Linked DNA regions of Anolis sagrei. The protein of the gene in region 2 purifies or fractionates together with the protein of the main gene of each other region. This does not show direct contact. Links are inferred from orthologs where the notes say so. Each region holds a gene or a part of one and is shown on either strand. Other genes may lie near its edges.

Region 1 (8,501 bases), on a different chromosome or scaffold from region 2:
CTACAGGAAAGGAGATTCCACCTAAACATTAGGAAGAACTTCCTGACTGTAAGAGCTGTTCAAAAGAGGAATTCTCTGCCTCAGAGTGTGGCGGAAGCTCCTTCCTTGGAAACTTTTAAACAGAGGCTGGATGGCCATCTGTCAGGGATACTTTGATTGTGCTTTTATTGCATGGCAAGGGTTGGACTAGATGACCCATGTAAGATTCTTATGACTCAGATTTTTGGGTGGAATTTTTGAGAATCGTTTCTACATTGCTAGCATTCCTCTCTGTTGGCAATGCGAGCTATCAATCGAACTTTATTTATATCCCATCCCACCCCCCCATGGGACCTCAGGGCAGCTTACAACGTGAAGACAGTCATTTGATGCCTCAAAAATAATAAATAAATAAACCATATAAGCATTCTATCAGAAAACAAATCATAATAAAAACCAATAAAACACTTTCCACAACAATAAAACTCTAGGCAGTTAAAAAGCCATATCCAGAATTAAAAGCTAGGGATGATGGGACTCCACAGTGGCATAATAATATCTGGAGCACTGCATAAGCCCTATCACTGCAGTAGAAGTGTTTCTTAAACTGTGCTGCCCCAGATATTTTGGACTTCAGCTCCCACAATTCCTAATAGTTGGGTTCTGGGAGCTGAAGTCCAAAACACCCATAGGAGCAGAGTGTGAGAATCACTGCATACCACAAAAAAGTAAAGGCTGTAGTAAAGGCTAGATCAGGCTAGATCAGGGATGGGCAAACCTGGGCCCTCCAGGTATTTTGGACTCCAACTCCCACAATTCCTAACAGTTCAAAACACCTGGAGGGCTGAGGTTTGCTCATGCCTGGGATAGATCCAACATTCAAAAGAGTAGACCCAACAGGACACTAATGGTTCATGAAACACAACTTAACTAAAAAAGTATTGATTCCAATGGGCAAGATTAATGTGGGGATTAAGGTAAAATGAAGAACATATTCATGTGCTGAAAAAGAATATTTTTAACTCACTTCTTTTATTTATTTATGACATTTATATGCCGCCCTTCTCACCCTGAAGGGGACTCAGAGCGGCTTACAAGATATATATATATATATATATATATATATATATATATATATATATATACACACACACACACACACACACATATACATACAATATATTATATTATATTATTAGAATAGTACAATATCAGTATTATATATTAAGATATTGCACTATACCATTATATTGTAATATAATTACAATCTTAATGAGACATGCCCCATTACCATGGGGTGTCTGCGCCCTACACCATTGGAGAAATTACACTGTTTAGCCAGTATTGCACCACCTGACATCTGCCGGGAAGTAGCAGCCAATAGTGAAAGGACTAAGGCAGTGACATCTCCAGCTCATCAAAAGCTGATATCCCTGTTTGGATATCAGCCAGCACGTCAATGACTTCAATCAAGACATAGTTTTCTAAGATCTACAGAGACACTCGCTGGAACACCTCAGCAAGCAAGAGTCCAAAAGTGGCAGGCTCAAATCCAGAACCTCAACCAATGGCTGATACCAAATGAGAGACTCCCCCCTGGGCACACAGAAGACTGGGCGACTTGGAAGGCGCTGAACAGACTGCGCTCTGGCACCACAAGATGCAGAGCCAACCTTAAGAAATGGGGCTACAAAGTGAAATCCACGACATGCGAGTGTGGAGAAGAGCAAATCACTGACCACCTGCTGCAATGCAACCTGAGCCTTGCCACATGCACAATGGAGGACTTTCTTGCAGCAACACAAGAGGCACTCCAAGTGGCCAGATACTGGTCAAAGGACATTTAATCAACTACCAAGCTTGCAAATTTTGTGTTTTGTATGTATGTTTGTTTTGTTCTGTTAGAAATGTAATACAATTGTCTGGTTGCCCCTGACACGATAAATAAATAAATTGTAATATTATTAGTCATATTACATGTAATATAAAGAACATATTCATGTGCTGAAAAAGAGTATTTTTAACCCACTTATTTATATGCCGCCCTTCTCACCTCGAAGGGGACTCAGAGCAGATTAGAAGATATATATATACACACACACCCACACACATACATAAATATGCAATATATTATATTATTAGCATAGTACAATATCAGTATTATATATTACTACATTGTACTATAATAATAAACTGTATTTATACCCCACCACCATCTCCCATATTGTTATATTAGTAATATCACATGTAACACAAAATATATAATTATATCGTATTATATTGTATTACATTATAATATTATATTGTACTAGCCATCCCCTGCCATGCGTTGCTGTGGCCCACATGGGGATTCTGTGTGGGAGGTTTGGCCCAATTCTATCATTGGTAGGGTTCAGAATGGTCTGTGATTGTAGGTGAACTATAAATCCCAGCAACTACAACTCCCAAATGTCAAGATTCTATTTTCCCCAAACTCCACCAGTGTTCACATCTGGGCATATTGAGTAATCTTGTAGTTTGGTCCACATCCATCATTGTTTGAGTCCAACGTGATCTCTGGGTGTAGGTGAACTACAACTCCAAAACCAAAGGACACTGCCCACCAAACCCTTCCATTATTTCCTGTTGGTCATGGGAGAACTGTGTGCCAAGTTGGGTTCAATTCCTTCGTTGGTGGGGTTCAGAATGTTCTTTGATTGTTGGTGAACGATAAATCCCAGCAACTACAACTTCCAAATGCCAAAATCAAAATTTTTTGAGTGAAGGCTATACATTGGGTTGTTAGGTGCATACTGTCCAAATTTGGTCTCAATTCGCCCACTGGTTTTTGAGTTCTGTTAATCCCACAAACGAACATTGCATTTTTATTTATATAGATTACATTATATTATTATTATATTATTATACTATAAACTTCTTTTAAATGCATTCAAGGGGAAAAACTGCTCATGAAAGGGAAAAGGTGTCTACTCCCCTAGTCAAATGCATGTAGAAAATATAGGCCAAAGTAAACCACCGGCTTCCAATGCCTTTGCAAAGGGCGCAGCAGTGGATGGGGAGCCTCCGCGCGCGGGGCTACGTGCAGCAGGGCACGCGGCGGAGAGGGGGCGTGGCTTGGCCGCAAGGGGGCGTGGCTTGAACCGCTCCCCAGCAACGCTCCCCCTCCCTTCCTTCCCCCCCCCCGGCTCCCCGGCCCCGCTTTACCGACGTCCCCGGCGACCTTGCCCCCGTTGAGGGTCTTGATGAGCTCCCCGAGGCTCTTCTTGTCGCCGTTCATCTTCCAGTTCCCGCCCACGAAGAACTTCCTTGGCGCCATGGTGCGGGTGGAGAGTGAGAGGAAGAAGGGAGGCGGCAACGACGGAGGAGGAGAAGATGGCAAGGTCGCACGGCGCGGCGGTCGCTCTTATAAGAACGCCTCAGCGAAGCCACGCCCATTCGCCCCTGCTGACGTCACATAGGCCCCGCCCCTTTGCACTCTGGAGGAGGGAAAGAGATCTCTATTTGGGAAATGTTCTGTTCCCGGTTTGAGAGTGCAATTTCCTGGGTTGTAGGTTTTCCGGGCTGTTTTAGAAGCATTCTCTCCTGACGTTTCGCCTGCATCTATGGCAAATATCCTCAGATGTTTTGAGGTCTGTAATTTCCTGTTTCATTATGTTGTTGTTCATTCGTTCAGTCGTCTCCGACTCTCCGTGACCTCATGGACCAGTCCACGCCAGAGCTCCCTGTCGGCCGTCACCACCCCCAGCTCCTTCAAGGTCAAGCCAGTCACTGGCTTCAAGGTCAAGCCAGTTCTATTACATAAAGAAAACACCGAAACAACCCAAATTAAAAATTATCGCCCAATTTCGCTCCTAAATAATGATTATAAACTATTCGCCACAATTATGGCAGAAAGATTAAAAAATTTTCTAAAAGAATGGACATCAAAAGAACAATCAGGATTTTTACCTAACCGACAAATAAAAGACAATACTAGAACTCTAATCAACATAATTGAATATTACGAAAAACATACAGAAAAGGCTCTGGCTCTACTCTTTGTAGATGCCGAAAAAGCATTCGATAAGGTAAATTGGTGTTTCATAAAATTGCTAGCTAAAGAATTGGATATGGGATTTTGTTTTAGAAATGTAATAAATGCAATTTACGGAAAACAAGAGGCCACCCTGGTAATTAATGGACAGGAGACCGAAAAATCAATACCAATCTCACAAGGTACAAGGCAAGGATGCCCATTGTCCCCCTTACTTTTCATTCTAGTCATGGAAATTCTGGTCAAAAACATAAATAACGATAAAAATTTAAGAGGGCCGAGAATTCAAAAAAAAGAATATAAATTAAAAACCTACGCAGACGATGTAGTGTGCTTTGTTGAAAGCCCAATAAACAATATCAAAGATTGGCTAAAAAAAATTGAAGATTTTGGTAATCTTGCGGGATTCAAGTTAAACAAACAAAAAACTAAATTATTAACCAAAAATATGAATGAGAAAGCAAAAGACACGCTACATAAAGTAACAGAAATCCAGACGGTATCCAAAATAAAATACTTAGGAATACACGTAACCAAAAGTAATATTGCACTAATTAAAAATAATTATGAAGTACTCTGGAAAAAAATCCAGAAGGATCTGGCGAAATGGAAGAACCAAAATCACTCCCTCATGGGGAGAATTGCATTAATTAAAATGATTGTGCTACCACAATTATTATTCTTGTTCCAAACTATTCCAGTGATTAGAAATAACCACCTTTTCAAAAAATGGAATTCGGACGTAATCAAATTCATATGGAAAGGGAAAAGGCCGAGAATCAGTCTAAAAATAATGACGGATGATAAAAAGAGAGGTGGGATGGGACTGCCAGACTTTAGGACATACTACGAGGCGTGCAACTTGGTTGCAATCAAAGACTGGACAAAATTAGAGAATAACCATATACTAACACTAGAGGGACATGATTTAAGAGCCGGGTGGCACAGCTACCTGTGGTATGATCGGCGGAAAATAGAAAAAAATTTTGCAAATCACATAATAAGAGCAGCCCTCATTAAAACGTGGGAAAAACATAAAAATAGACTGTTTAGATACACCCCACTCTGGATTTCAACATTGGAAGCAAAACAGAAAAAAGAATTAGGGATTGAAAATTGGCCCACTTACAAACAACTCCTAAAGAAAAACGAAGAAGGAAATTTAATCTTAAAGTCTTATGATGAACTCCAAAAAATAAATCCCAAAGCCACATGGTTGACCTATTACCAAATTCGGGAGGGATACAAAAAGGACGAAAAATTAGGATTTGAACAAAACAAGGGATTGTGGGACATAATTATGGAGAAAGAGAAAAAATTAATAAAAATACTATACAAACAATTACAAACTTGGAATACGGAAGAAGAACAGGTTAAAGAATGCCAAATAAAATGGGCTAGAGATTTTGGATATACTATCACGTCAGACCAATGGGAAGAAATTTGGACAACAAAAATTAGATATTCGGCAGCCAGTGACATCAAAGAAAATTGGTTCAAAATGTTCTATCGATGGCACTATACGCCAGAGAAATTAGCTAGATTTAAAAAAAATAATACAATTTCGGATAAATGCTGGAAGTGCGAAAAAAGAACGGGCACTTTTTTCCACCAATGGTGGGCTTGTACAAATATCAAAAGATTTTGGAATAAGATCCATAGGGCATCCCAAAAAATACTAAAATTAACTTTCAGAAAAGCCCCCGAGACTTACTTATTAGGAATACTCAAGGAGACCAAATTAAATCGAAATCAGGACAAAGTCTTATTTTTACTGAGTACAGCAGCCAGACTGGTCATTGCAAAAAAGTGGAAACAGAAGGAAACACCAACATTAGAAGAATGGATTATTAAAGCTTTCGATATAATACAAATGGATAATCTAGCTGAAAGAATAAACGGAGTTAAGAAAAAAACTGACTGGACAGATTTTACGGACTATTTAAAAACAAAAGAAATTCCCATCATGATCGATCTTACAAAGTTCTAGAAGAGAACAACGAAATGTCTACCGCTTTGTCAGCAGAAACAAATCAGAGTCTGAAGGACTAGCAACCAGAAGAATAAGACTCTTGAAAAACCCTGGGAAGTCAGAGTACAGAAGAAAACGGTGTTGGTGATGGAACCTTTCCCCTCCCCCCTTTCCATCCCCCAATCCCAAACCCACCTACCCTAATTCCTACCTTCCCCTATTTTTTCCTCACCCCTGTATAGTATGCAAAAACCAATAAAAAATATTAAAAAAAAAAAAAAAAGCCAGTCACTTCAAGGATGCCATCCATCCATCTTGCCCTTGGTCGGCCCCTCTTCCTTTTGCCTTCCACTTTCCCCAGCATCATTGTCTTCTTTAGGCTTTCCTGTCTCCTCATGATGTGGCCAAAGTACTTCAACTTTGTCTCTAGTATCCTTCCCTCCAGTGAGCAGTCGGGCTTTATTTCCTGGAGGATGGACTGGTTGGATCTTCTCGCAGTCCAAGGCACTCTCAGCACTTTCCCCCAGCACCACAGCTCAAAAGCATCGATCTTCCTTCGCTCAGCCTTCCCTAAGGTCCAGCTCTCACATCCGTAGGTGACTACAGGGAATACCATGGCTTTGACTAGGCGGATCTTTGTTGCCAGTCTCATGTCTCTACTCTTTACGATTTTATCGAGACTGGACATTGCTCTCCTCCCAAGAAGTAAGCGTCTCCTGATTTCCTGGCCACAATCTGCATCTGCAGTAATCTTTGCGCCTAGAAATACAAAGTCTGTCACGGCCTCCACGTTTTCTCCCTCTATTTCCCAGTTGTCAATCATTCTTGTTGCTATAATCTTGGTTTTTTTGATGTTTAGCTGCAACCCAGCTTTTGCGCTTTCTTCTTTCACCTTGATTAGAAGGTTCCTCAGCTCCTCCTCGCTTTCGCCTGTTTCATTATGCGGTCCTTATTTTGGCCCTTTCCACACAACTAAACAAAATCCCACATTTTCTGCTTTGAACTGGAATATATGGCAGTGTACACTCAGATAACCTGGTTTAAAGCAGATATTGTGGGTTATTCTGCCTTGATATTCTGGGTTATAGGACTGTGTGGAAGGGCCCTGGGAGTTTCCCCCTCACATGGATCCTTTCATTATCCCATATTATCTGAGTGTGGACTCAGATAACCAAATTTAAAGCATTTATTGTGGGATTTTCTGCCTAGATATTATGGGATAAAGGGCTGTGTGGAAGGGTCCTTGGAAGAAACTGCAAGGGCCATCTAATCCATACCCTTTCTACCATTTATTTATTTATTTATTTATTTACTTCACTTGTATACCGCTATTCTCAGCCCTTAGGTGATTCACAGCAGTTAACAACAATAATAGCAAAAATTCAATGCAGCATAACAAGGTATTTAAAAACAAATAAACCCAATAGCAGACTAAGCAATTAAACAACAATAAACATTTATTCATTGGCGTCTCATAACTAGAATCATGATCCAAACTCGTCATCCGTAGTTCCATTTCCTAAAATTCATTGCACTGCCTATTCAAACGCCTGTTCAAATAACCAGGTTTTCACTTTTCTCTGAAATACCATCAATGAGGGAGCTGATCTAATGTCTGTGGGAAGGGTGTTCCACAGCCAAGGGGCCACCACCGAGAAGGCCCTGTCTCTCGTCCTCGCCAGCCATGCCTGTGTTGCAGGCGGGATCGAGAGCAGGGCCTCCCTGGAAGATCTCAAAGTCCTAGTGGGTTCGTAGGCGGAGATGCGATCGGATAGGTAACTTGGGCCAGAACCGTTATGTAGTACATAATCAAATCCAAACTCAAGAATAGAAATAGGAATGTTGATGGACAGGAAAAGAGATTTAAAGATGGGCTTAAAGCCAACCTCAAAAACTGTGGCATAGACACCGAGAACTGGGAAGCCCTGGCCCTTGAGCACTCTAACTGGAGGTCAGCTGTGACTGGCAGTGCTGCAGAATTTGAAGGCACAATGGAGGGCGAAAGGGAGAAACACACCCTTAGTTCTTTTGTTGCTTGATGCTTGTCTATTATTATGTTTGCTTTATGCTTTTAAATTGCATTTTGTTATTGCTCTGCTTTTAATTGTTATGTTCCCTGGACTTGGCCCCATGTAAGCCGCCCTGAGTCCCTTCGGGGAAATGGAGGCGGGGTAGAAAAATAAAGTTCTTCTTCTTCTGTTTACTTTATGTGAGATCACATTATATCAAATTTTGACAGAGTCAGGATAGATGATGATGATGATTATTCCTTGGGGCAGATTACTTCCAATAGCTCAAAGATATCTGGAGTGGAAGAGGGCCTCTGGACTTGAACAAAAAGGAGGTGCTTGTGTCTGAGCAAGGCAACCAAACTGAGGTGTGGGCTATAAGCATCGTCCAGAACAAAAGGAAGGCAGAAGGCGGACGGAAAGCCTCTGGTTCTGATGGCAGCCCTCCCATGTTTGGTCCTGAAACTGCATCTTCTTCCTCCTCCACCATCAACCAGCACAGACACAT
Region 2 (8,222 bases):
TTATTGGAAATCTCTTGAGGTATTCCTGTGCAAAAACACACAATATATATTCAAACACAAGCTGTGAAATACATGAGATAAATAATGGAATTTGGTACCACAAGATGGCCACCAATCTGAATGCTTTAAAATGGATGGTACAAAATGATGAAAAATCAATAAACTACTCATGCAAGCAATGTACTATCCAGAATTGGAGGCAACATGTGCCCTCAATCCAGGCCCGTAGCCCCCCCCCCCCCCCGAAATTCTCAGGGTGGTCCGCGAGAAGGCCTTACTGCTACATTATTTAAACGGTTATGTTTATTCATATCAGGATATGATCACCATGCTCAATATATCCCATATGCATGGGGGTATTGGGATAATGATAGAAAAGGTTTGCTAGAGTAGATCCTGAGCCCCCCCCCCCCCCGAATCAAAATCCTGGCTATGGGCCTGCCTCAACCCATCTACCTGGTGAATGGAATCAACAGTAGAAAGTTATGGCCTTCATGTCCAATTTGTTGTGGATCTGGTTCTCCATTAAGGTGGGAAAGGATCAGACTTAATATTGTTTTATTTCTAATGTATTTGGAGCTGTAGTGTTGCTCTTTGTTTATTGTCCTGATTTTAGAGGGTTTTTAAATATTGGTATCCAGATTTTGTTCATTTTCATGGTGTCCTCCTTTCTGTTGAAACTGTCCACATGCTTGATGAATTTAAATGACTTGTGAACAAAATCTGGCTACCAGTATTAAAAAACTAAAATCAGGACAGTAAACAAAAAGCAACACTCAAAAAACAGGAGAATTCCAAACAAAATTCTATCAGGGCCAGCTAACACCTCTCAACAAAGGACCCTCAGGCAGAAATCTGCCAGGTTTTGAAGCTACAAGGCCATTAAATGCTAATCAAGGTGGCCAATTGCAACATTCATACTTGCCTCGAGCAGACCAGAGTTCTTTCTCCCACCCTGGACATTCTACAGATACATAAACCTCACTTGCCTTGTTTCCAACAGACCTCACAACCTCTGAGGATGCCTGCCACAGATGTGGGGAAAACATCAGGAGAGAATGCTTCTGGAACATGGCCATATAGCCCAGAAAACTCACAAAATTGCAGTTGTTGCAGGTGAATTGACACATGACGCAAGGGATATTGATTTTCTAACATGGAAGCAAGGAGATGAAATAAAGATTGTAGAACTGTCCAGTTGGGAATAAGCAATACAGGTTGCCTGGAATACGAAATACTCTAACACTCAAAACTGAATTGCTGACATCTTTGCTTTCTGATGTGAACAAACTTTGTTCCATGCTCATAATTATTTAAAATATTCTATATAAGATGACCTTCAGGCTATGTGGATATGAAACATAAGTAAATTTCATGTTTAGATTTGCATCCCATCTCCAAAATATTACATTATGTGTTGGCAAGCACTAGAAGTGCTCTGCATTTCAGATTTTGGAATTCTTGCAGATACATAATGAGGGATACTCAAATCTGTAGTAATACTGGCTTTCCAAAAAAAGTTTAACTTTGGAAAATGCAGCTGGGCGGCCCTTGCCTTGTTATTATTTGCCCTTATTAACTGGCTTTTACACATTTTTTAGCATTTACATGCTAAATGACCAGCTAAATGACCAGCCACTGCCAGAAGGGACAGAGAGTTTCATCTTTGCTGACGATCGTGCCATCACTGCTCAAGCAGAACTTTGAAATGGTTGAACAGAAGCTCTTTGAAGCTTTAGGTGCTCTTACTGCCTATTACAGGGAAAACCAGTGGATTCCTAAGCCATCTAAAACACAGACATGTGCTTTTCATCTTAAGAACAGAGAAGCATCTCAAACTCTGAGGATTGCCTGGGAAGGAAATCCACTGGAGCACTGCAGCACACCCAAATACCTGGGAGCAGGGCTGTAGCCGGGGGTGGGTTAAAAGTTCAACCCCGCCCTGAAATGTGTCAGGCTAAAAAAGAAACATGGTTTACTCATAAATTGGTAAACCAGTCAAAATTCATGAGTAAACCAGGTTACCGGCGGGGGTGTTGAACCCTTTCGGAGGGGGGGGGGGGGTGTAAAACCCTTAAACTCCCCCCAACCCCCCCCCCCCCCCCCCCCGCTACAGCCCTGCTTGGGAGTCACTCTGAACCGTGGACTGAGTTATAAGAAGCATTGCTTGAATATCAAGCAAAAAGTGGGTGCTAGAAGTAATATCGTACGAAAGCTGACTGGCACAACCTGGGGATCACAACCAGAAACAGTGAAGACATCTGCCCTTGTGCTTTGCTACTTTTCTGCTCAGTACGCATGCCTAGTATGGAATACATCTCACTGCATTAAAACAGGATGTGGCTCTTAATGAGACATACTGCATAATCACGGGATGTCTACGCCTAACACCGCTGGAGAAATTATACTGTTTAGCTGGTATTGCACCACCTCATACCTGCAGGGAAGTAGCAGCCAATAATGAAAGGAACAAGGCATTGACATCTTCGGCCCATCCTCTGTTTGGATGTCAGCCAGCAAACCAATGGCTTAAATCAAGAAACAGCTTCCTAAGATCGAGAGAGATACTTGCAGGAACAGCTCAGCAAGCGAGAGTCCAAAAGTGGCAGGCTAAAATCCGGAACCTCGTTCAATGGCTGGCACCAAATGAGAGACTCTGCCCCTGGGCACACAGAAGACTGGGTGACTTGGAAGGCGCTGAACAGACTGTGCTCTGGCATCACGAGATGCAGAGCCAACCTTAACAAATTGGTGGAGTCCACGACATGCGAGTGTGGAGAAGAACAAACCACAGAAAACTTCCTACAATTTTGTAGTAATTCGTGACCACATCTCCCTCCACCAACCTGTACAATCCCTCTGATCCTCTGGGGAGGCCCTCCTCTTGCCCATTCCTCTATCACAAGCATGACTTGTGGGAATGAGGGAGAAAGCCTTCTCCGCTATGGCCCCCTGACTTTGGAATTCACTACCTGGTGAAATTAGGCAAGCCCCCACCCTAGCAGCCTTTAAGAAAGATCTGAAAACTTGGCTCTTCCGATGTTCCTTTGGAGAATGACCATTCACCCCATTTCTGTTTGTTCCACCTACAGTGTTGCCCCTGTGATGCACTTTCTCCCATCCTAAACTGAAAGCCTAACCCCACTGTCCATCCTTTTGGGCTCCTCTCAAATGCACTTTTTCTACTCCTACCTCATCCAGGGTTTTATCATTTTACCTTGTCCATGTGGCCCACCCATAATGTTTGATTTTATATTATGTTATTTTGCTTTGTTTACTATATTCTGCTATTGTATGTATTTTATTGTGATATAATTTTGCTGTTTTTTGTTGTTTGCATCTTGTATTTTATTTTGCTGTATTGTATTTTTGGGCTTGGCCTCATGTTAGCTGCCCTGAGTCCCTCTCGGGGAGATGGTGGCGAGGTATAAATAAAGATTATTATTATTATTATTATTATTATTAGAAACACAACAAGATGAGTCCACAGCAGGCACTCTTCTGGCTTTGTATTGGATCACACGTCGGACAATTCCCAAGTGTCTAGGACTGTGTGATGTATCGGCAAATAATGCGTGCAGATCCCAGTAAGGTGGTCTTCTGCAGCTGGCAGCTGGTAATTTTGTCAGCGCCGATTGTGTTTAAGTGAAGGCCAGGGTCTTTAGGCACTGCATCCAGTGTATCGATCACCACTGGGACCACCTTTACTGGCTTGTGCCAGAGTCTTTGCAGTTCGATCTTTAAATTCTCATATTGTGTCAGCTTTTCCAGTTGTTTCTCTTCAATTCTGCTGTCAGCCGGGATTGTAACATCGACAATCCATACCTTGTTTTTTAACACAATCGCGAGGTCAGGAGTTTTGTGCTCCAAAACTCTTGTATGTCTGAATTCAGAATTCTCAGAGGAGTTTGACATGTTCATTCTCTGTAACTTTTTCCGGCTTGTGATCCCATCAGTTCTTTGTCGCAGGCAGATGGTATTTGTGGCACAAGTTCCAATGAATCACCCGAGCAATGGTGTTATGCCTCTGCTTGTAGTCTGTCTGCATGATCTTCTTGCAGCAGCTAAGGATGTGAAGATTATTATTATTATTATTATTATTACAATGCAACCTTGAGCCCTGCCACATGTACAAGCGAGGACCTTCTTATAGCGACACCAGAGGCACTCCAAGTGGCCAGCTTCTGGTCAAAGGACATTTACCATAATGCCAAGTTTTTAAAACTTTGTTGGTGTTTTTAAATGCATTTAAACTGTACCCTGAACTTGCTTCTGACATTAACAAATAAAATAAAGAAACTGGTTTGCCTTTAGGTGTACCTACACCAGGCACGAGTAAACTTTGGCTCTCCAGGTGTTTTGGACTCCAACTCCCACAATTCCTAACAGCCTCGGGCCCTTTCCTTTCACCCCTCAGCCGCTTAAGCGGCTGAGGGGTGAAAGGAAAGGGCCCGAGGCTGTTAGGAATTGTGGGAGTTGGAGTCCAAAACACCTGGAGAGCCAAACTTTGCTCCTGCCTGATCTATACAGTATTATTAATACAGCCTTTTGTGTGACTGAAGGTGTATCTACACAGCAGAATTAATGCAGTTCGACTGCCATGCCTCAATAACATGGAATAATGGGATTTATAGTATTGCTGTGCTTGGCAAAAGTTTGTGCTGCTTTATAATGTCTTTGAGAAGTGTAGTTTTCCTAGTCTTACAGCTCCAAATCCCAGGATTTCATAACACTGAGTTAGTGTAAAACTGCCTCAACCCTACAGGCACTCACCTTTGGCCACAATGAGGACAAGCTGATTAATCCGGGCCCTCCTTTCAGAGCGAGGGAAAAGACCATTTCGCCTTCGCTCGTTCCTGATTGGCTAAGGTCGAAATGTTTCGCCCGCCGGTTGGCTGCCTGGCTTGGAGAAGGGCGGGGATAGAATGGCACACTGCCTGGCGATTGGGTGGTAGGGTATAAAAGGGCGCGGAGGCGGGCCCGTGCTCGGTGGTGCAAGTAGGGGCGGTGCAGCTATGTTATCTGCGAAGGGTTTTGGACAGACGACCAATATGGCGGTGCAGAAGGCGGTCTGCTTGCTGACGGCCGACCCGGCCTCCGGGAGCAATGTCTGCGGCGTCGTTCGCTTCGAGCAGCAGGCAAGGCTCTTCTGGGAAGGGAGCAGCCGGGAAGGAAAGGGATGGAAAGCCTGGGTTTGGGGCCGGAGAGGGAGCGAGGGAATCCAGCCATGCAAGCAGGCCCCTCTGTCACTGCCATGGCTCCACGCTAAGGCATCACGGGAGCTGCAGTCTTGCAAGGTTTTGGGCCTTCTCTGTCAAACTGCAAATCCCAGGAACCCCTGGCATTCAGCCCTGGCGCCAATCTGCATTAATTCCACAGTGTAGATGGCCCCTTAGCCCAGTTCCTTTAATGCTGGCTCTCTGTTAGGGTGCATCAAAGGCGATGTGTTTTAAAATAGTTGCAGTGAGTTTTGTCATTTTCAGATAATTATATTTTTAATTCCATTATAGGCTTTAAATTGCATACTGTATTGTATTGGTTGTGGTACTTTTCACTATAGTATATAAATATAATAATATAAATGATATTAATATAATTATTATTAATAATAATATAATCATATAGCCTCATTACGGGGTCCACTGTAAGCCGTTCTGAGTCCCCCTTCGGGGGTTGAGAAGTGACGGGATAGAAATGCGAAAAATAAATAAATGCTTTTGGTCGTATCAGGAGCAACTGCAAGTCGCTTCTGGCGTGAGAGAATTGGCTGTCTGCGAGGACGTTGTCCAGGGGATGCCCGGATGTTCTGATGTTTTACCATTCCTGGGGGGGGGGGGCTTCTCTCATGTCCCCCCATGAGGAGCTGGAGCTGACAGAGGGAGCTCGGCCGCACTCTCCCCGGATTCAAACTTGTGACCTGTCAGTCTTCAGTCCTGCCTGCACATGGGTTTAACCCACTGCGCCACCGGGGGCTCTTGATATTAATAATGATATGCATGATATTAATATAATATACAAGATGATGATAATAATATACATGATATTAATATGAGCTGTTCAGCAGTGGAACTCTCTGCCCCGGAGTGTGGTGGAGGCTCCTTCTTTGGAGGCTTTTAAACAGAGGCTGGATGGCCATCTGTCAGGGGTGTTTTGAATGCGAATTTCCTGCTTCTTGGCAGGGGGTTGGACTGGATGGCCCACGAGGTCTCTTCCAACTCTATGATTCTATAATATTATAATATACATAATATTAATTATAATATACATGATAATAATATATATGATATGAATATAGTATTATGATCTAATATTTATCGTATCAGGAGTGAACCAATGCATTTGAGAAAACACAAAGTTTAAAAACTTGGCATTCTACTAAATGTCCTTTGACCAGTAGCTGGCCACTTGGAGTGCCTCTGGTGTTGCTATAAGAAAGTCCTCCACTGTGCATGTGGCAGGGCTCAGGTTGCATTGTAATAGGTGGTCTGTGGTTTGCTCTTCACCACCCACATGTCGTGAACTCCACTTTGTAGCCCCATTTCTTAAGGTTGTCTCTGCATCTTGTGGTGCCAGATGTAATATGCAATATGTGTGTGTGTGTGTGTGCGCGCGCACAATATTCACAATGATATACATGATATTAATATAATATTATAGTAATAATATACATGAGGATTTAAAGATCGAACTGTAAAGACTGGCACAAGCCAGTAAAGGTGGTCCCAGTTGTGATCAGCACGCAGGGTGCAGTGCCTAAAGACCTTAGCCTGCACTTAAAAACAATCAACACTGACAAGATTACTATCTGTCAGCTGCAAAAGGCCATCCTTCTCGGATCAGCACACACATTATTCATTATCCAACGTGTGATTGAATACAAATGATCTTATTCACTCTGTACTAATCTTGTTATGCATCTAATAATAATAATAATAAAGAATAATTGCCACATTTGTATTTCTGAAGGCCAGGTTTTTGGTATGTGCTTCTCTCTCGTGACTTTTTGATACACAGGTTGAGTATCCCTGATCCAAAATGCCTGGGACGAGAAATATTTCAGATTTTTTTCAGACCTTTATTTGCATATATGTGCACAATGAGATATCTCTGAGGTGGTATCCAAGCCTATCTTCCTGGAGCCCCCGTGGTGGAGCAGGTTAAAGCACTGAGCTTCTGAAATTGCTCACTGAAAGGTTCGCAGTTCAAATCCGGGGAGCAGGGTGAGCTCCCGCTGTTAGCCCCAGCTTCTGCCAACCTAGCAGTCTGAAAACATGCAAACGTGAGTACATCAATAGGTACTATGTTGGAGGAGAGGTAACGGCCCTCCATGCAGCCATGCCGGCCACATGACCTTGGAGGTGTCTACAGACAGCGCTGGCTCTTTGGCTTAGAAATGGAAATCAGCACCAACCCCCAGACTCGGACACAACTGGACATAATGGACTTAACCTTTACTAAACAAAGTTTGTGTACATTGAGTCATCAGAAAGCAAAGATTCAAAGGGCAGAAAAAAGTTTCCAATTAAACATTAGTAAGAAGGATAGTAAGGTTAGTAAGAGATAGTTGGCAGTGGAAGGTACATCTTTGGATATCTCCTTCATTGGAGGTTTTTAAGGAGTGGCTGCATGCTCACCCGTTGGGAGTGCCTTGATTGTATTTTGTTGCATGGCAGAATGAGGTTGGACTGGATGGCCCTATAACTCTAAGATTCTGTATCACTGTCACAACCACCTGTATGGACAGTTTTGCATTTTGGAGTATTTTGGATTTCCCAATAAGGAATGCTCAACTTCTGTTTAGATATTAACACATGCACTTTTAGTCTAGTGTTTCTCAAACTGTGCCCCTCCAGGTGTTTTGGACTTCAGCTCCCAAAAATCCCAGCCAGTGTACCAGCTTTTAGAAATTGTGGGAGTTGAAGTCCAACATCTGGAGGAGCATAGTTTGATGAGAAACTGGTCTAGATCACTTTGCTGTAAACTGTGAGTCCTGTCCCCAAAGAGGGTCCCTTTAACTCATTGTTGGGGGTCATAAAAATTGGCAACAGTAAAGGATTTCTGATTGCAACTCACTTACACAATCTGTTAGCAACGAATGGTGCAAACAGTGGACATGGCAAAAAATGCACAGCATCCACAAAAAGGAAAATCAGCCTGTTTCATACGCTTTGTAAATGCTGATTTATTATCAGTAAATGTTTTATTTTTATAATGATGTACCA
Region 3 (8,081 bases), on a different chromosome or scaffold from region 2:
GGTTTATCTACAATCAAAGAGCATTCTGAACTCCACCAATGATGGTATTGAACCAAACTTGGAACACAGAACTCCCCCCACCAACTGAAAATATTGGCAGGGTTTGGTGGGCGATTGACCTTGAGTTTTGGAGTTGTAGTTGCTGGGATTTATAGTTCACCTACAATCTAAGAGCATTCTGAACTCCACCAATGATGGTATTGAACCAAACTTGGGACACAGAACTCCAATTGACCCACAGAAAATGCTGGAAAGGTTTGGTGGGTGATTGACCTTGAGTTTTGGAGTTGTAGTTCACTTACATCCAGAGAGCACTGTGGACTCAAGCAATGATGGGTCTGGACCAAACTTGGCACGGATACTCAATATGCCCAAAAGTGGTGGAGTTTGGGGGAAAAAAACCTTGACATTTGGGAGTTGTAGTTGCTGGGATTTATAGTTCAGCTACAACCAAACCCTTCCAGCATTTTGGAGTTGTAGTTCACTTACATCAAGAGAGCAAGGTAGACTCAAGCAATGATAGATCTGGACCAAACTTGGCACGGATACTCAATATGCCCAAATGTGGGGAAAAACGACGACATTTGGGAGTTGTAGTTGCTGGGATTTATAGTTCACCTACAGCCAAACCCTTCCAGCATATTGGAGTTGTGGTTCACTTACATCGAGAGAGCAAGGTGGACTCAAGCAATGATAGATCTGGACCAAACTTGGCCCAGATACTCAATATGCCAAAATGTGGGGGGGAAAGATCTTGACATTTAGGAGTTGTAGTTGCTGGGATTTATAGTTCACCTACAATCAAAGAACATTCTGAACCCCACCACTGATGGAATTGAACCAATCTTGGCACACAGAACTCCCATGACCAACAGAAAAAAATGGAAGGGTTTGGTGGGAATTGATCTTGATTTTGGGAGTTGTAGTTCACCTACATCCAGAGATCACGGTGGACTCAAACAATGATGGATCTGGACCAAATTTGACACAAATACTCAATATGCCCAAATGTGAAGACTGGTGGAGTTTGGGGAAAATAGACCTTGATATTTGGGGGTTTTAGTTGCTAGGATTTATAGTTCACCTACAATCCAAGAGCATTCTGAACTCCACCACTGATGGAATTGAACCAATCTTGGCACACAGAACTCCCAGGACCCACAGAAAATACTGGAAGAGTTTGGTGGGCACTGAACCTTGAGTTTTGGAGTTGTAGTTCACTTACATCAAGAGAGCAAGGTGGACTCAAGCAATGATAGATCTGGACCAATCTTGGCACTAATACTCAATATGCCAAAATGTGAACAATGGTGGAGTTTGGGAAAAATAGACCTTGACATTTGGGAGTTGTAGTTGCTGGGATTTATAGTTCACCTATAATCAAAGAGCATTCTGAACTCCACCAATGATAGAATTGAACCAAACTTGGCACACTGAAAATACTGGGTTTGGTGGGCATTGACCTTGAGTTTGGGAGTTGTAGTTCACTTACATTGAGAGAGCAAGGTGGACTCAAACAATGATGGATTTGGACCAAATTTGGCACAAATACTCACTATACCCAAATGTGAACACTGGTGGAGTTTGGGAAAAATAGACCTTGACATTTGGGAGTTATGGTTGCTGGGATTTGCAGTTCCCCTACAATCAAAGAGCATTCTGAACTCCACCAGCGATGGAATTGAACCGAACTTGGCACACAGGACTCCCATGACCAGCAGAAAATACTGGAAGGGTTTGGTTGGGCACTGACCTTGAGTTTGGGAGTTCTAGTTCACCCACATCCAGAGACCACTGTGGACTCAAACAATGATAGATCTGGACCAAACTTGGCACAGATACTCAATATGCCCAAAAGTAGCAGCTGCTCATTCGAATGCTAATAAAGCAGGCCTCTTCTTGCCCAAACAGATGCCAAGGCTAACAGGAATGCTCTCTTCTCCCCTTGCATGAGAAAGAATCCTCTTGTTCTTAAACAGGCATGCGCAAGGCCTGATACTGTCTGCTGTGAATCTGGATTCCCAGGAAAAACCATGTGGCTATCTATCGTAAAGACATGTATTCATGCTACGGGAAATATGACACACACATGAAGACTTGACTGCATTGTAAACAACGTTGTAAACACTCGCATGGCGTGGATTCCACTTTGTGGCCCCATTTCTTGAGGTTGGCTCTGCATCTCGTGGTGCCCGAGTGCAGTCTGTTCAGCGCCTTCCAAGTCGCCCAGTCCTCTGTGTGCCCAGGAGGGAGTCTCTCATCTGGTATCACCCACAAATTGAGGTGCTGGGTTTGAGCCTGCCACTTTTGGACTCTCGCTTGCTGGGGTGTTCCAGCGAGTGTCTCTGTAGATCTTAGAAAACTATGTCTTGATTTAAGTCGTTGACGTGCTGGCTGATACCCAAACAGGGATGAGCTGGAGATGTCACTGCCTTGGTCCTTTCACTATTGGCTGCTCCTTCTCGGCGGATGTCAGGTGGTGAAATACCGGCTAAGCAGTGTAATTTCTCCAGTGGTGTAGGGCGCAGGCACCTCGTGATAATGCGGCATGTCTCATTCAGAGTCACATCCACTGTTTTAGCGTGGTGAGATGTGTTCCACACTGGGCATGCGTACTCAGCAGCAGAGTAGCACAGCGCAAGGGCAGATGTCTTCACTGTGTCTGGTTGTGATCCCCAGGTTGTGCCAGTCAGCTTCTGTATGATATTGTTTCTAGCACCCACTTTTTGCTTGATGTTCAGGCAGTGCTTCTTGTAGGTCAGAGCACGGTCCACAGTGACTCCCAGGTATTTGGGTGCGCTGCAATGCTCCAGTGGGATTCCTTCCCAGGTAATAATCCTCAGAGCTCGGGATGCTTGTGTGTTCTTAAGGTGAAAGGTACATGTCTGTGTTTTAGATGGATTAGGGATCAGCTGGTTTTCCCTGTAAGAGGCAGTGAGAGCACCTAGAGCTTCGGAAAGCTTCTGTTCAACCATCTCAAAGCTCCCTGCTTGAGCGGTGATGGCACGATCATCAGCATAGATGAAACTCTCTGTAAATATATGGTATGAAAATATATATTGTAAGCTGCTCTGAGTCCCCTTCGGGGTGAGAAGGGCGGCATAGAAATGCAGTAAATAAATAAATAAATAGATGCCAATTTTCAGAGACTTGGTACGAACCGGCCCCTGGTAAATCTGTTTGCCTACATTAATTCCCTGTTGCTTTTGCCTTTTCCTTCTCTTTCTTTCTCTTTCCATTGATGCCAGTACCACTTAACTCCCTTTCGCGGCGGTGTGTTGACACACAAAAATCCAGCTGCGTGTGGCAAATCAACAAAAGAGTGTGGTCATGATGAGCATGACTGCATGGAGCACCGTTGCCTTCCTGTCAGAGCAGTACCTATTGATGTACTCACATTTTGATGTTTTTGAACTGCTAGGTTGGCAGAAGCTAGGGCTGACAGCGGAAGCTCACACCGCTGGGGATTTTCCATCCTTGAAAAAAAGAAAAGAGAGAAATTAAATATATTTTTAAAAGGAAAGAAAAAAGTCTCCTTCCTCTCTCTTTTTTTGAATTGCATTTTTGTATTGTATTTTTTGTTTTGTATAGTAATTTTTTTTTTGTTTTGTATTGTACTTTTTGTATTGCATTTTTGTATTTGCAAAAAATGGGGATTTTCCATCCTTGGAAAAAAGAAATAAATTAAATGCATTTTTTTAAAAAACAGGAGAGAAAGAAAAAAAGTCTTTTTCCTTTGCACTCTCTTTTTTTTGTAGTGTATTTTTTTGGTTTGTATTGTATTTTTATTTTATTTTTTGTATTGCATTTTTGTATTGTATTCTTTTTTTGTATTGTATTTTAATTTTATTTTTTTTATTGGATTTTTGTATTGTATTTTTTTGGTTTGTATTGTATTTTTATTTTATTTTTTGTATTGCATTTTTGTATTGTATTCTTTTTTTGTATTATATTTTTATTTTATTTTTTGTATTGCATTTTTGTATTGGATTGTTTTTGGTTTGTATTGTATTTTTATTTTATTTTTTTGGATTGGATTTTTGTATTGTATTTTTATTTTATTTTTTGGATTGCTTTTTTGTATTGGATTGTTTTTGGTTTGTTTTGTATTTTTATTTTATTTTTTTGTATTGCATTTTTGTATTGTATTTTTTTTGTTTCGTATTGTATTTCAATTTTTTTTTGTATTGCATTTTTATTTTATTTTTTTGTATTGCATTTTTGTATTGTATTTTTTGTTTCGTATTGTATTTCAATTTTATTTTTTTTTGTATTGCATTTTTATTTTATTTTTTGTATTGTATTTTTTTTGTTTCGTATTGTATTTCAATTTTATTTTTTTTGTATTGCATTTTTATTTTATTTTTTTGTATTGCTTTTTGTATTGTATTTTTTTGTATTGTATTATTTTTTTGTATTGCATTTTTGCATTGTCTTTGCAAAAAAATGGGGATTTTCCATCCTTGAAAAAAAAAGAAAGAAATTAAATGCGGGTGTTTTAAGAGTGAAAAAAAGGAGAGAGAAAAATTCTCCTTCCTTTCCTTTGCTCTCTCGCTCTCTCTCTCTCTTTGAGCAAAAAGGAAGGCGTTTGTGCACGTAGCGCACGCGCCAGAAAGGCTAGGCGAGCCTGGCGAGAGGCGCGTCCTGACCAATCAGGAAGGAGCCGGGGACCCAGCCAGCCAATAAAAAGCCGAGTCCCGGGCATTGATTTGCATACGCCCGGGTTATAGCTCAGCGCGAGCCAGGCGGATCTTCCCCAGTTGCACAGGAAGCAGCAGCCTTTGCAATTCTCTTGCTTGGTTCTTTTTGCAAACAGTAAGTAGTTTTCTATCATTGTAAGTTACTTTTTTTTTTGCATTGCCAGGCGCTGTTCTTAGTCCTAGGTAAGTGCATGGGTGTTAGTGTATGTGATTATTATTTGGATAATATATTCTAAATTCCTGCAATGGATTTGGTTGCAAAGGGAACAAAGGACCACTTTGCATCCTTTCCCAAATATCTAGGTAGTTTTTTAAGGTCCTCTTCCATCAGAGCAGGGCCCAAAATGCAAAAGGAAGGCCCTAAATAAAGGAGAAGTGAACCTATCATGGGCTGAGAGAGTGTGACTATTTAATGTATTTTTCATATATTTATTTTTCTAATATAATATATATTAATATAAAATGATATATTAGAATCTAATATTATATTTAAGTGCATGTTAACATATGATAGTAATTTAATATTGAATATAAATATTAAATTACTATTATATATATTTATGTTCATATAATATATTATTATATATTTATTTATGTTCATATAATATACTATTATGTATTTATTTATTTATGTAAATAAATAATAACAGTATAATCATGTAGTATGATATAATAATATAATATTAAGTGCATATTTAATATATAATAATAATTTAATATTTTTATTTTTATAATATGATATTATATATTATTATTATAATGTAAAATGATAATATTATATTAGAATATAATAATATAATAAGAAAGTAAATATTTAATATTTAATAGTAATTTAATATTGAATATAAATGCTGTAAATAAATAATTACAGTATAATCATGTAGTATGATATAATAATATAATATTTAAGTGCATATTTAATATATAATAATAATGTAAAGTGATAAATGTTATATTAGAATATAATAATATAATATCTAAGTGCATATTTCATGTATCATAATAATTTAATATTGAATATAAATCCTGTAAATAATTAATTACAGTATAATCATGTAGTATGATATAATAATATAATATTTAAGTGCATATTTAATATATGATAATACTTTAATATTGAATATAAATGCTGTAAATAAATACAATATAGTATAATATATAATATAATACTTAAGTGCATATTTAATATATAACAGTATACTATTTAAGTGCATATTAATATTTTATAATAATTTAACATTGAATATAAATGCTATAAATAAATAATATTCCTATTTGGAGCTAGGGTTGGAATTCTCCAGGCCTAGATAAAAATAATAATAAAACTTTGTTTATTGAACTATTTTATTGATTTATTTTATATTTATATTATATTTTTATTTTTTCCAATGTTTTCCCATGTGGGTTAACAGCAAACATGACCCAATATACTTGAAAACTTAAGCAACTGCAATAAAAAAATATATGAATTTAATAACATGTGTGGCTTGGAAGATAAAAATATTAAAATACATTTAAAGGTATACTTAAAAGTTCACATGCCCTCCAAAATCCCATTCATTGCTCAAGGTCATTTGTGGCTGAGTGAGGATTTGAATCCTGTGCTCCGGAGTCATAGTCCAACACTCATAATCTGATTTCTTGTTACCTAATAAGGGATTATGATGGTTATTTTGCAAGATTTCTTTGGGGGAGGCTTTCCCCTTGCCTTCCTCCGAGGCTGAGAGAGTGTGACTTTGCCCAAGGTCACCCTGGTCTCCCACATCTGAGAAACCGCTCTGCGTTCATTGGTGCCTCTTAGATCTTATCAGGAGAAGCATAATAATAATAATATAATTTTAAGTGCATATTTAATATTCCCATTTGGAGCCAGACTTGGAATTCTCCAGGCCCAGATAATAATTATATAATATCATCAGATAATAATTATATAATACCGTAATGTAATATAATATTATAATATAGTAGGATAATACAATATATTCTAATATAGTATAATAATACTTGAGTGCCTATTTAGTATTCCCATTTGGAGCCAGGCTTGGAATTCTCCAGGCCCAGATAATAATTATATAATATAATATTATTATATAATATGATAATATAATATATTCTGATATATTATAATAATATTTTGAGTGCATATTTAGTATTCCCATGTGGAGCCAGGCTTGGAATTCTCCACGTCCAGATAATAATTATATAATATCATAATGTAATATAATATTATAATATAGTATGTTAATGTAATATATTCGAATATATCATAATATTGGAGTGCATATTTAATATTCCCATTTGGAGCCAGGCTTGGAATTCTCCAGGCCCAGATAATAATTATATAATATCATAATGTAATATAATATTATAATATGATTATTTATTTATTTATTTATTGGCTTTGCTTATATACTATATATAGTGCATATTTAGTATTCCTATTTGGAGTCAGGCTTGGAATTCTCCAGGTCCAGATAATAATGATATAATATGATAATGTAATATAATATTATAATATAGTATGATAATATAATATATTCTAATACAATATAATATTTGAGTCTATATTTAACATTCCTATTTGGAGCCAGGCTTGGAATTCTCCAGGTCCAGATATTATTATTATTATATATGATATTATAATATAATATAATAACATTTCAGTGTATATTTAATATTCCTATTTGGAGCCAGGCTTGGAATTCTCCAGGCCCAGATAATAATAATAATAATATAATAATAATAATAATAATTATTATTATAATAAGATATTACAATATAATATTTAAGTGTATATTTAATATTCCTATTTGGAGCCAGGCTTGGAATTCTCCAGGCCCAGATAATAATTATGTAATATAATATAAGAATATTATAATATGATGATATATTATAATATTTAAGTGCATATTTAATATTCCTATTTGAAGGCAGGCTTGGAATTCTCCAGGTCCAGATAATAATAATAATTATCATTATTATTATTATTATTATTAAATGATATAATATTACAATATAATATAATATTTAAGTGTAGATTTAATATTCCTGTTTGGAGCCAGGCTTGGAATTCTCCAGGTCCAGATAATAATAATAATAATAATAATAATAATTATTATTATTATTATTATTAAATGATATAATATTACAATATAATATAATATTTAAGTGTAGATTTAATATTCCTGTTTGGAGCCAGGCTTGGAATTCTCCAGGTCCAGATAATAATAATAATAATAGTAATTATTATTATTATTATATAATATGATGTTATAATATAATATAATAATATTTAAGTGTATATTTAATTGTCCTATTTGAAGCCAGGCTTGGAATTCTCCAGGTCCAAATAATAATAATTATTATTATTATTATTATTAT
Region 4 (8,014 bases), on a different chromosome or scaffold from region 2:
TATTATTAGCTAATGTAATTAATAATAATAATAATAATAATGTTGTTATTATTATTATTATTATTATTATTATTATTAGCTAATGTAAGCCAGGCCGGAGATAGATAATATAGAAGGAATGCCAGAGTTCTTTAATTGTGAAACCCTAACCCTTACCCTAATCCTGAACCATACCAGAATCGTAACCCTAACCCCTTACCCAAACCCTTACCCAAACCCTAAACCTTACGCTAACCCAAACCCTAAACCTTACCCTAACCCTAACCGTAAAAGGTAAAGGTAAAGATTTCTCCTTGACATTAAACCTAGTCATGTCCGACTCTGGGGGTTGCTGCTCATCTCCATTTCTAAGCCGAAGAGCTGGCGTTGTCCTCCTAGGTCAGGTGGCCAGCATGACTGCATGGAACGCCGTTACCTTCTCACCAGATCTATTGATCTACTCACATTTGCATGCTTTTCGAACTGCTAATAGCGGACGCTCACGCCACTCCCTGGATTTGAACCGCCGACCTTTCGGTCAGCAAGTTCAGCGGTTTAACCCGCTGTGCCACTGAGCGGCCCTTAATATAATATTATATAAACTGCTAGGTTGGCAGTTTGAAACCCCTAACCCTAACCCCTAACCCTGCCCTAACCCTTACCCCAAGCATCCCCTCCTTTCTATCCTTCCTTTGCTCTCCCCGCTCTCCCTCCGCTCCCTCTCTTCGCTTTTCCCAGCCGCGTTTGCGGCATCTCCGTAACGCTCGGAGCTTCCGTACACACCTATCATACTATCACCGAGTTCTTTCTCTCACCTTGGACCTTCAAAGAACTCTTGTCTGTTGGAGGCAAGTGTGGATGCTGCAATTGGCCACCTTGATTAGCACTGAATGGCCTTGCAGCTTAAAAACTTGGCTGGTTTCTGCCCGGGGAAATAATGTCCAGGGTGGGAGAAAGAACTCTTGTCTGTTGGAGGCAAGTGCGGATGCGGCAATTGGCCACCTTGATAAGCACTGAATGGCCTCGCAGCTTCACAGACTGGCTGGTTTCTGCCTGGGGGAATAATGTCCAGGGTGGGAGAAAGAACTCTTGTCTGTTGGAGGCAAGTGCGGATGCTGCAATTGGCCACCTTGATTAGCAATAAATGGCCTCGCAGCTTCAAAGCCTGGCTTCTTCCTGTTAACACATCCCAACAAAGGACTTCCTCAGGCAGGAAGCAGCTAGGCTTTGAAGATACAAGGCCATTCTTTGCTATAATCAAGATGGCGAATTACAGCATCCACACTTGCCTCCAACAGACAAGAGTTCTTTCTCCCACCACAGATATATCAACCCCATTGTCCTAGTTTCCAACAAACCTCACAACCTCTGAGGATGCCTGTCATAGATGTGGGCGAAACATCAGGAGAGAATGCTTCTGGAACATGGCCAGGCAACCTGGAAATCCTCACAGCAACACAGCGTAGGATTTGCCCCAAATTCCCCATAGATTTGAAGATTATTTCAGCCTTGCGGCTTCAAAGCCTGGCTTATTCCTGTTAACACATCCCAACAAAGGACTTCTTCAGGCAGGAAGAAACCAGGCTTTGAAGGTACAAGGCCATTCAATGCTAATCAAGGGGGCGTGGCCTGGGAACGCCCCGCCCTCACCTGAATGCGAAGAGGGAAGCCGCCGCCGGGCTTCACGCCCCGCACGTGAGAAGTCAGCATGTTGTGCGTCAAAAGCTTCATCCTCGCACGACGCCGGTGGCCGGGCCGGGAAACCGTCTGCGCATGCGTGCCGCCACTCCACCGCTCTAACGCCCCCTTTTTCCTCTCACTTCCGGCGGCTAATTTCGACACACTTCCGGTGAGTTAGTGCAACGCTAATATCGAATGTACGGGAAACCAGATCTAAATGCGACACCGTTCCGGGTTGTAATATTTCATTTAAACCAACATCCCCACTATTTAAATATTTAAATAAATGAAATAAAATATATAAATAAATATAATATTAAAATGCAATGTTAATATAACATATACAATGTTCTATATATAAAATATAATATCAACGAAATGTTTCAATAAAATAATAATTATTTATGATTATTTGTTTGTTTGTTTTAGTAGAATAATGCCCAGGGTGGGAGAAAGAACTCTTGTCTGCTTGAGGCAAGTGGGAATGTTGCAATTGGCCACTTTGATTAGCATTGAATGGCCTTGCAGCTTCAAAGCCTGGCTGGTTGCTGCCTGGGGGAATCCTTTGTTGGGAGGTTTTAGCTGGCCCCGATTGTTTCGTGTCAGGAATTAGATCTTCTTGAACCATTTCTAGAGCATTATACTATTACAATATTATTATATCTTCTTGAACCAATGCCTCGAGTATTATTATATCTTTTTGAACTAATTTTTGATTGATTCTTGAGTATTATTATTATTATACTATACTTCCCTGAACCGATTATTATGATATTATTCTCATATCTAACCCTAATATTTCCTTGCAGCTTCAAAGCCTTGCAGCTTCAAAGCTTGGCTGCTTCCTGCCTGGGGGAATCTTTAGTATTGAATAGCCTTTTAGCTTCAAAGCCTGGGTGGAAATCCTTAGCATTGAATAGCCTTGCAGCTTCAAAGCCTGGGTGGAAATCCTTAGCACTGAATAGCCTTGCAGCTTCAAAGCCTGGGTGGAAATCCTTAGCATTGAATAGCCTTGCAGCTTCAAAGCCTGGGGGGAAATCCTTAGCATTGAATAGCCTTGCAGCTTCAAAGCCTGGGTGGAAATCCTTAGCATTAAATAGCCTTGCAGCTTCAAAGCCTGGGTGGAAATCCTTAGCATTGAATAGCCTTGCAGTTTCAAAGCCTGGGGGGAAATCCTTAGCATTGAATAGCCTTGCAGCTTCAAAGCCTGGGTGGAAATCCTTAGCATTGAATAGCCTTGCAGCTTCAAAGCCTGGGGGGAAATCCTTAGCATTGAATAGCCTTGCAGCTTCAAAGCCTGGGTGGAAATCCTTAGCATTGAATAGCCTTGCAGCTTCAAAGCCTGGCTTCTTCCAGCCTGGGGGAATCCTTAGCATTGAATACCCTTGCAGCTTCAAAGCCTGGCTGTCTCCTGTCTGGGGGGGGGAATCCTTAGGATTGAAAAGCCTTGCAGCTTCAAAAACTGGCTGTCTCCTGTCTGCGGAGGGGAATCCTTAGCATTCAATAGTCTTGCAGCTTCAAAGCCTGGCTGTCTCCTGTCTGGGGGGGGGATCCTTAGCATCGAATAGCCTTGTGGCTTCAAAGCTTGGCTGTCTCCTGTCTGGGGAGGGGAATCCTTAGCATTGAATAGCCGTACAGCTATTGAATGCCTTACAGCATTGAATAGCCTTGCAGCTTCAAAACCTGGCTGCTTCCTGCCTGGGGGAATCCTTAGCATTGAATAGCCTTGCAGCTTCAAAGCCTGTCTGACACTTGCCTGGGGGAATCCTTAGCATTGAATAGCCTTGCAGCTTCAAAGCCTGTCTGCTTCCTGCCTGGGGGAATCCTTAGCATTGAATAGCCTTGCAGCTTCAAAACCTGGCTGTTTCCTGAATGGGGGAAACTTAGCATTGAATAGACTTGCAGCATCAAAACCTGGCTGCTTCTTGCCTGGGGGGAATCCTTAGCATTGAATACCCTTACAGCTTGAAACCCTGGCTGCTTCCTGACTGGATGAATCCTTAGCATTGAATAGCCTTACAGCTTTAAAGCCTTAGCATTGAATAGCTTTGCAGCTTCAAAACCTGGCTGCTTCCTGCGTGTAGAATCCTTAGCGTTGAATAGCCTTGCAGCTTCAAAGCCTGGCTATCTCTTGTCTGGGGGAATCCTTAGCATTGAATAGCCTTGCAGCTTCAAAGCCTGGCTGCTTCCTGCCTGGGGAGAATCTTTAGTATTGAATACCCTTGCAGCTTCAAAGCCTGGATGCTTCCTGAATGGGGGAATCCTTAGCATTGAATAGCCTTACAGCTTTAAAGCCTTAGGATTGAATAGTTTTTCAGCTTCAAAGCCTAGCTGCTTCCTGCCTGGAGGGAAATCCTTAGCATTGAATAGCCTTGCAGCTTCAAAGCCTGGCTGCTTCCTGAATGTGGGAATCCTTAGCATTGGATAGCCTTACAGCTTTAAAGCCTTAGCATTGAATAGCCTTGCAGCTTCAAAGCCTGGCTGCTTCCTGCCTGGGGGAATCTTTAGCATTAAATACCCATACAGCTTTAAAGCCTTAGCATTGAATAGCCTTGCAGCTTCAAAGCTTGGCTGCTTCCTGCCTGGGGGGAATCCTTAGCATTGAATACCCTTACAGCTTTAAAGCCTTAGCATTGAATAGCCTTGCAGCTTCAAAGCCCGGCTGCTTCCTGCCTGGGGGGAGGATCCTTTCAGGGGAGGTTAGCTGGCCCTGATTATTTCCTGTTTTTCTGAGCGTTGTTCTTTATTTACCATGCTGATTTTAGAGGTTGGTTTTTAATACTGGTCGGCAGATTGTGTTCATTTCCACGTGGTTGTACTTCATGCAAATGAGATGCAGATGAGCCACCCCAGGCCCCGCCCCTTGCGTTGGCCCCGCCCCCTGACTACCCGCCCTCCGGAGGGGAGAGGGAGACTTGGGAGGCAGGCCCGGGGTTGCCAGGGCAGCAGCCGTCACTCCTGCGATTTCCATGGCAACGGGGTGGCGAGGGGCGGGGGTGCTGGCTTTGGCAGGCAGGGCTGTTTTGGTGCAGGCCCCACTCCTCGGCATCCGTGGAGCGCAGAAGGGCCGGTATTTCGGGACCGGAGCAGCAGCCATGGCCGCCCTCAAGGTCAGTCGCCTCGGGGCGGGTCCACACCGGAGAGTTAACGCGGTTTGGCCCCTCCGGGAGCCGTCATTAGAGTTGGCAAAGGCTCGAGAAGGGCCTGAGTGAGGCCTAGGCCTGGAATGCCTCCTCAGGAGGCATTCCAGGCCTAGGCCTCACTCAGGCCCTTCTCGAGTTGCATTGACTGTGTGTGAGGCATTCCTCTTAAGGGCTGGAATACCATATTTTGTGTGTGTGTATTTATGTCTATTGTGCATTGTAGTTTCTGCATGTGATTATGTACAGTAGTCTCTTCTCCAACATCAACGAAAATAAGCGAAAATGTGGACTAAAAAGGAGGAATCTGGAGAACAAGCCCTATGAGGAGCGGCTTAAAGAGCCCGAGAAGAAGAGAAGCCTTTCTGTATGGGATTATGTACAGTAGTCTCTTCTCCAACATCAACGAAAATAAGCGAAAATGTGGACTAAAAAGGAGGGATCTGGAGAACAAGCCCTATGAGGAGCGGCTTAAAGAGCCCGAGAAGAAGAGAAGCCTTTCTGTATGGGATTATGTACAGTAGTCTCTTCTCCAACATCAACGAAAATAAGCGAAAATGTGGACTAAAAAGGAGGGATCTGGAGAACAAGCCCTATGAGGAGCGGCTTAAAGAGCCTGAGAAGAAGAGAAGCCATTCTGTATGTGATTATGTACAGTAGTCTCTTCTCCAACATCAACGAAAATAAGCGAAAATGTGGACTAAAAAGGAGGGATCTGGAGAACAAGCCCTATGAGGAGCGGCTTAAAGAGCCCGAGAAGAAGAGAAGCCTTTCTGTATGGGATTATGTACAGTAGTCTCTTCTCCAGCATAAACGGGCCAAGAGCAGAACGTTGGATAAGCGAAAATGTGGAGTAAAAAGGAGGGATCTGGAGAACAAGCCCTATGAGGAGCGGCTTAAATAGCCTGAGAAGACATGAAGAAGGCCAGGGATAAATATGTGAGAGGGAGGAGGGGGAGAACTTGTTTTCTGTTTCCTTGAAGACTAGGACGCGGAACTATGGCTTCAAATATGCCTGCAGGACAAGGACTGTTTACAGACGTCACATGCAACTCCTGGAACGATTCCATGAGCGCTGCCTCCGGAAAATCCTGCAAATCTCTTGGGAAGACAAGCGGGGAAATGTCAGCATGCTGGAAGAAGCAAAGACCACCGGCATTGAAGCAATGGTCCTCCGCCATCAACTCCGCTGGGCTGGCCACGTTGTCCGGATGCCCGACCACCGTCTCACAAAGCAGTTGCTCTACTCCGATCTCAAGAATGGAAAACGGAATGTGGGTGGAAAGGAAAAGAGATTGAAAGATGGGATCAAAGCCAACCTTAAAAACTCTGGCTTCCCAGTTCTCAGGGTCAATGCCAGAGTTTTTAAGGTTGGCTTTGATCCCATCTTTCAATCTCTTTTCCTTCCCACCAACATTCCTTTTTCTTTAAAAACTCTGGCCCTTGAGCACTCCAGCTGGAGGTCAGTTGTGACCAGTAGTGCTGCAGAATTTGAAGAGGCATGAATGGAGGAAGAAATAAACATGCCAAGAGGAAGACGCGTCAAGCCAACCCCAACTGGGACCGCTTTTCACCTGGAAACCAATGCCCTCGCTGCAGGAGAAGATGCAGGTCAAGAATAGGGCTCCATTGCCACCTACGGACCCACCCTGGAGGATTATCCTACGAAAAGAGATTTAAAGTAGTCCACGCTCTGGTTACATCGCGTTTAGACTACTGCAATGCTCTCTACGTGGGGTTGCCTCTGAAGACTGCCTGGAAGCGTCAATCAGTCCAACGTGCGGCAGCCAGATTGCTAACAGGAGCGGGGTACAGAGACCATACGACCCCTCTGTTACGCCAGCTCCACTGGCTGCCGATCAGCTTCTGTGCACAATTCAAAGTGCTGGTTCTGACCTATAAAGCCCTAAACGACTCTGGCCCAGTTTACCTGTCCGAACGGATTCTCCCCTATGAACCATCAAGGCTATTAAGATCTTCCAGGGGGGGCCTGCTCTCGGTCCCACCACCCTCGCAATCACGGTTGGTGGGGACAAGGGACAGGGCCTTCTCGGTGGTGGCTCCCCGGCTTTGGAACTCCCTCCCACTAGAGATCAGATCTGCTCCCTCCCTCCTGACATTCAGGAAATTACTAAAGACATTTGGAATGTGGCATTTGAGGACTGAATCTAGAACCTCCCCCTGTGATGAATTATGATGAACTGTGACTACAAGTATGACTATGACCATGACTGGATTGACGATTTGGCTTAGGTAATTGTGATGATGATGTTTTATTGTACTGTATTGTACTATTTTAATATGTAATGACTTTGCACTTGTTGTTCTTTATATGATTGTATTTTATATATGCTGTAAACCGACCTGAGTCCCTCGTCGAGGTGAGAAGGCCAGTATAGAAAACTTCTAAATAAATAAATAAAGATGGGCTCAAAGCCAACCTTAAAAACTCTGGCATAGACACTGAGAACTGGGAAGCCCTGGCCCTTGAGAGCTCCAGCTGGAGGTCAGCTGTGACCAGCAGTGCTGAGGAATTTGAAGAGGCACAAATGGAGGGCAAAAGCGTACCTGTCCGAATGTATCTCCTTCTATGTCCCATCTTGGAGTTTAAGATCTTCTGGGGAGGCCCTGCTCTCGGTCCCACCTTTAGGCTTGGGCAATGCATGGTTCTAAATGGTTCTAAAGTACTTACAAAACTAAAGTTCTGGTAGTGAAAATTTCAGAACTCTAACAAAACTTTCAAAATTTAATTATTATTTCATTATTGGTGATTTTAATGACAGAACCAATTAGGAACTGCCATTTATTATGAAATTTTGAGAGTTTTGTTAGAGTTCTGAAATTTTCACCACCAGAACTTTAGTTTTGTAAGTACTTTAGAACCATTTAGAACCATGGATTGCCCAAGCCTAAGTCCTTTACCACAAGTGAGACTGGTGGGGACGGGGGACAGGACCTTCTCGGTGGTGGCCCCTCGCCTGTGGAATTCACTCCCCGGGGGAAATTAGGTCATCGACATCCCTCCTCTCCTTCAGAAGGAAGTTGAAAACATGGATATGGGACCAGGCCTTTGGGTAATATGCCAGACCGACAAGGCAATGACGACCAGAGTTTGGAAAGGATAATGCTGAATGGACTTACGGATTTTAGAACTCGGTGAACGTTGGCCACTAGATTGGTTATTCTTTTTAGTTGTTATTGTATTACTTGAATGT

Evidence for each region.
Region 1: the proteins of SOD1 (region 2) and TPI1 purify together in Homo sapiens (affinity purification with mass spectrometry; 3 studies listed by BioGRID, with this or other methods). This does not show direct contact. The link is inferred for Anolis sagrei from reciprocal best matches to the Homo sapiens genes SOD1 and TPI1.
Region 3: the proteins of SOD1 (region 2) and ENO1 fractionate together in Homo sapiens (co-fractionation; 3 studies listed by BioGRID, with this or other methods). This does not show direct contact. The link is inferred for Anolis sagrei from reciprocal best matches to the Homo sapiens genes SOD1 and ENO1.
Region 4: the proteins of SOD1 (region 2) and PRDX5 fractionate together in Homo sapiens (co-fractionation; 3 studies listed by BioGRID and IntAct, with this or other methods). This does not show direct contact. The link is inferred for Anolis sagrei from reciprocal best matches to the Homo sapiens genes SOD1 and PRDX5.

The regions. Positions count from the first base shown.
Region 1 is NC_090022.1:198,088,910-198,097,410, reverse strand, and holds the start of TPI1 (triosephosphate isomerase), read right to left. Parts: upstream 3,382-8,501; 5' UTR 3,296-3,381; coding exon 3,184-3,295; intron 1-3,183. UniProt on the Homo sapiens protein: Triosephosphate isomerase is an extremely efficient metabolic enzyme that catalyzes the interconversion between dihydroxyacetone phosphate (DHAP) and D-glyceraldehyde-3-phosphate (G3P) in glycolysis and gluconeogenesis.
Region 2 is NC_090023.1:68,915,804-68,924,025, forward strand, and holds the start of SOD1 (superoxide dismutase [Cu-Zn]), read left to right. Parts: upstream 1-4,969; 5' UTR 4,970-5,015; coding exon 5,016-5,138; intron 5,139-8,222. UniProt on the Homo sapiens protein: Destroys radicals which are normally produced within the cells and which are toxic to biological systems.
Region 3 is NC_090033.1:2,612,044-2,620,124, forward strand, and holds the start of ENO1 (alpha-enolase), read left to right. Parts: upstream 1-4,716; 5' UTR 4,717-4,815; intron 4,816-8,081. UniProt on the Homo sapiens protein: Glycolytic enzyme the catalyzes the conversion of 2-phosphoglycerate to phosphoenolpyruvate. In addition to glycolysis, involved in various processes such as growth control, hypoxia tolerance and allergic responses.
Region 4 is NC_090032.1:16,793,342-16,801,355, forward strand, and holds the start of PRDX5 (peroxiredoxin-5, mitochondrial), read left to right. Parts: upstream 1-4,545; 5' UTR 4,546-4,628; coding exon 4,629-4,769; intron 4,770-8,014. Other genes in the region: TRMT112 (multifunctional methyltransferase subunit TRM112-like protein), read right to left, coding at 1,630-1,710. UniProt on the Homo sapiens protein: Thiol-specific peroxidase that catalyzes the reduction of hydrogen peroxide and organic hydroperoxides to water and alcohols, respectively.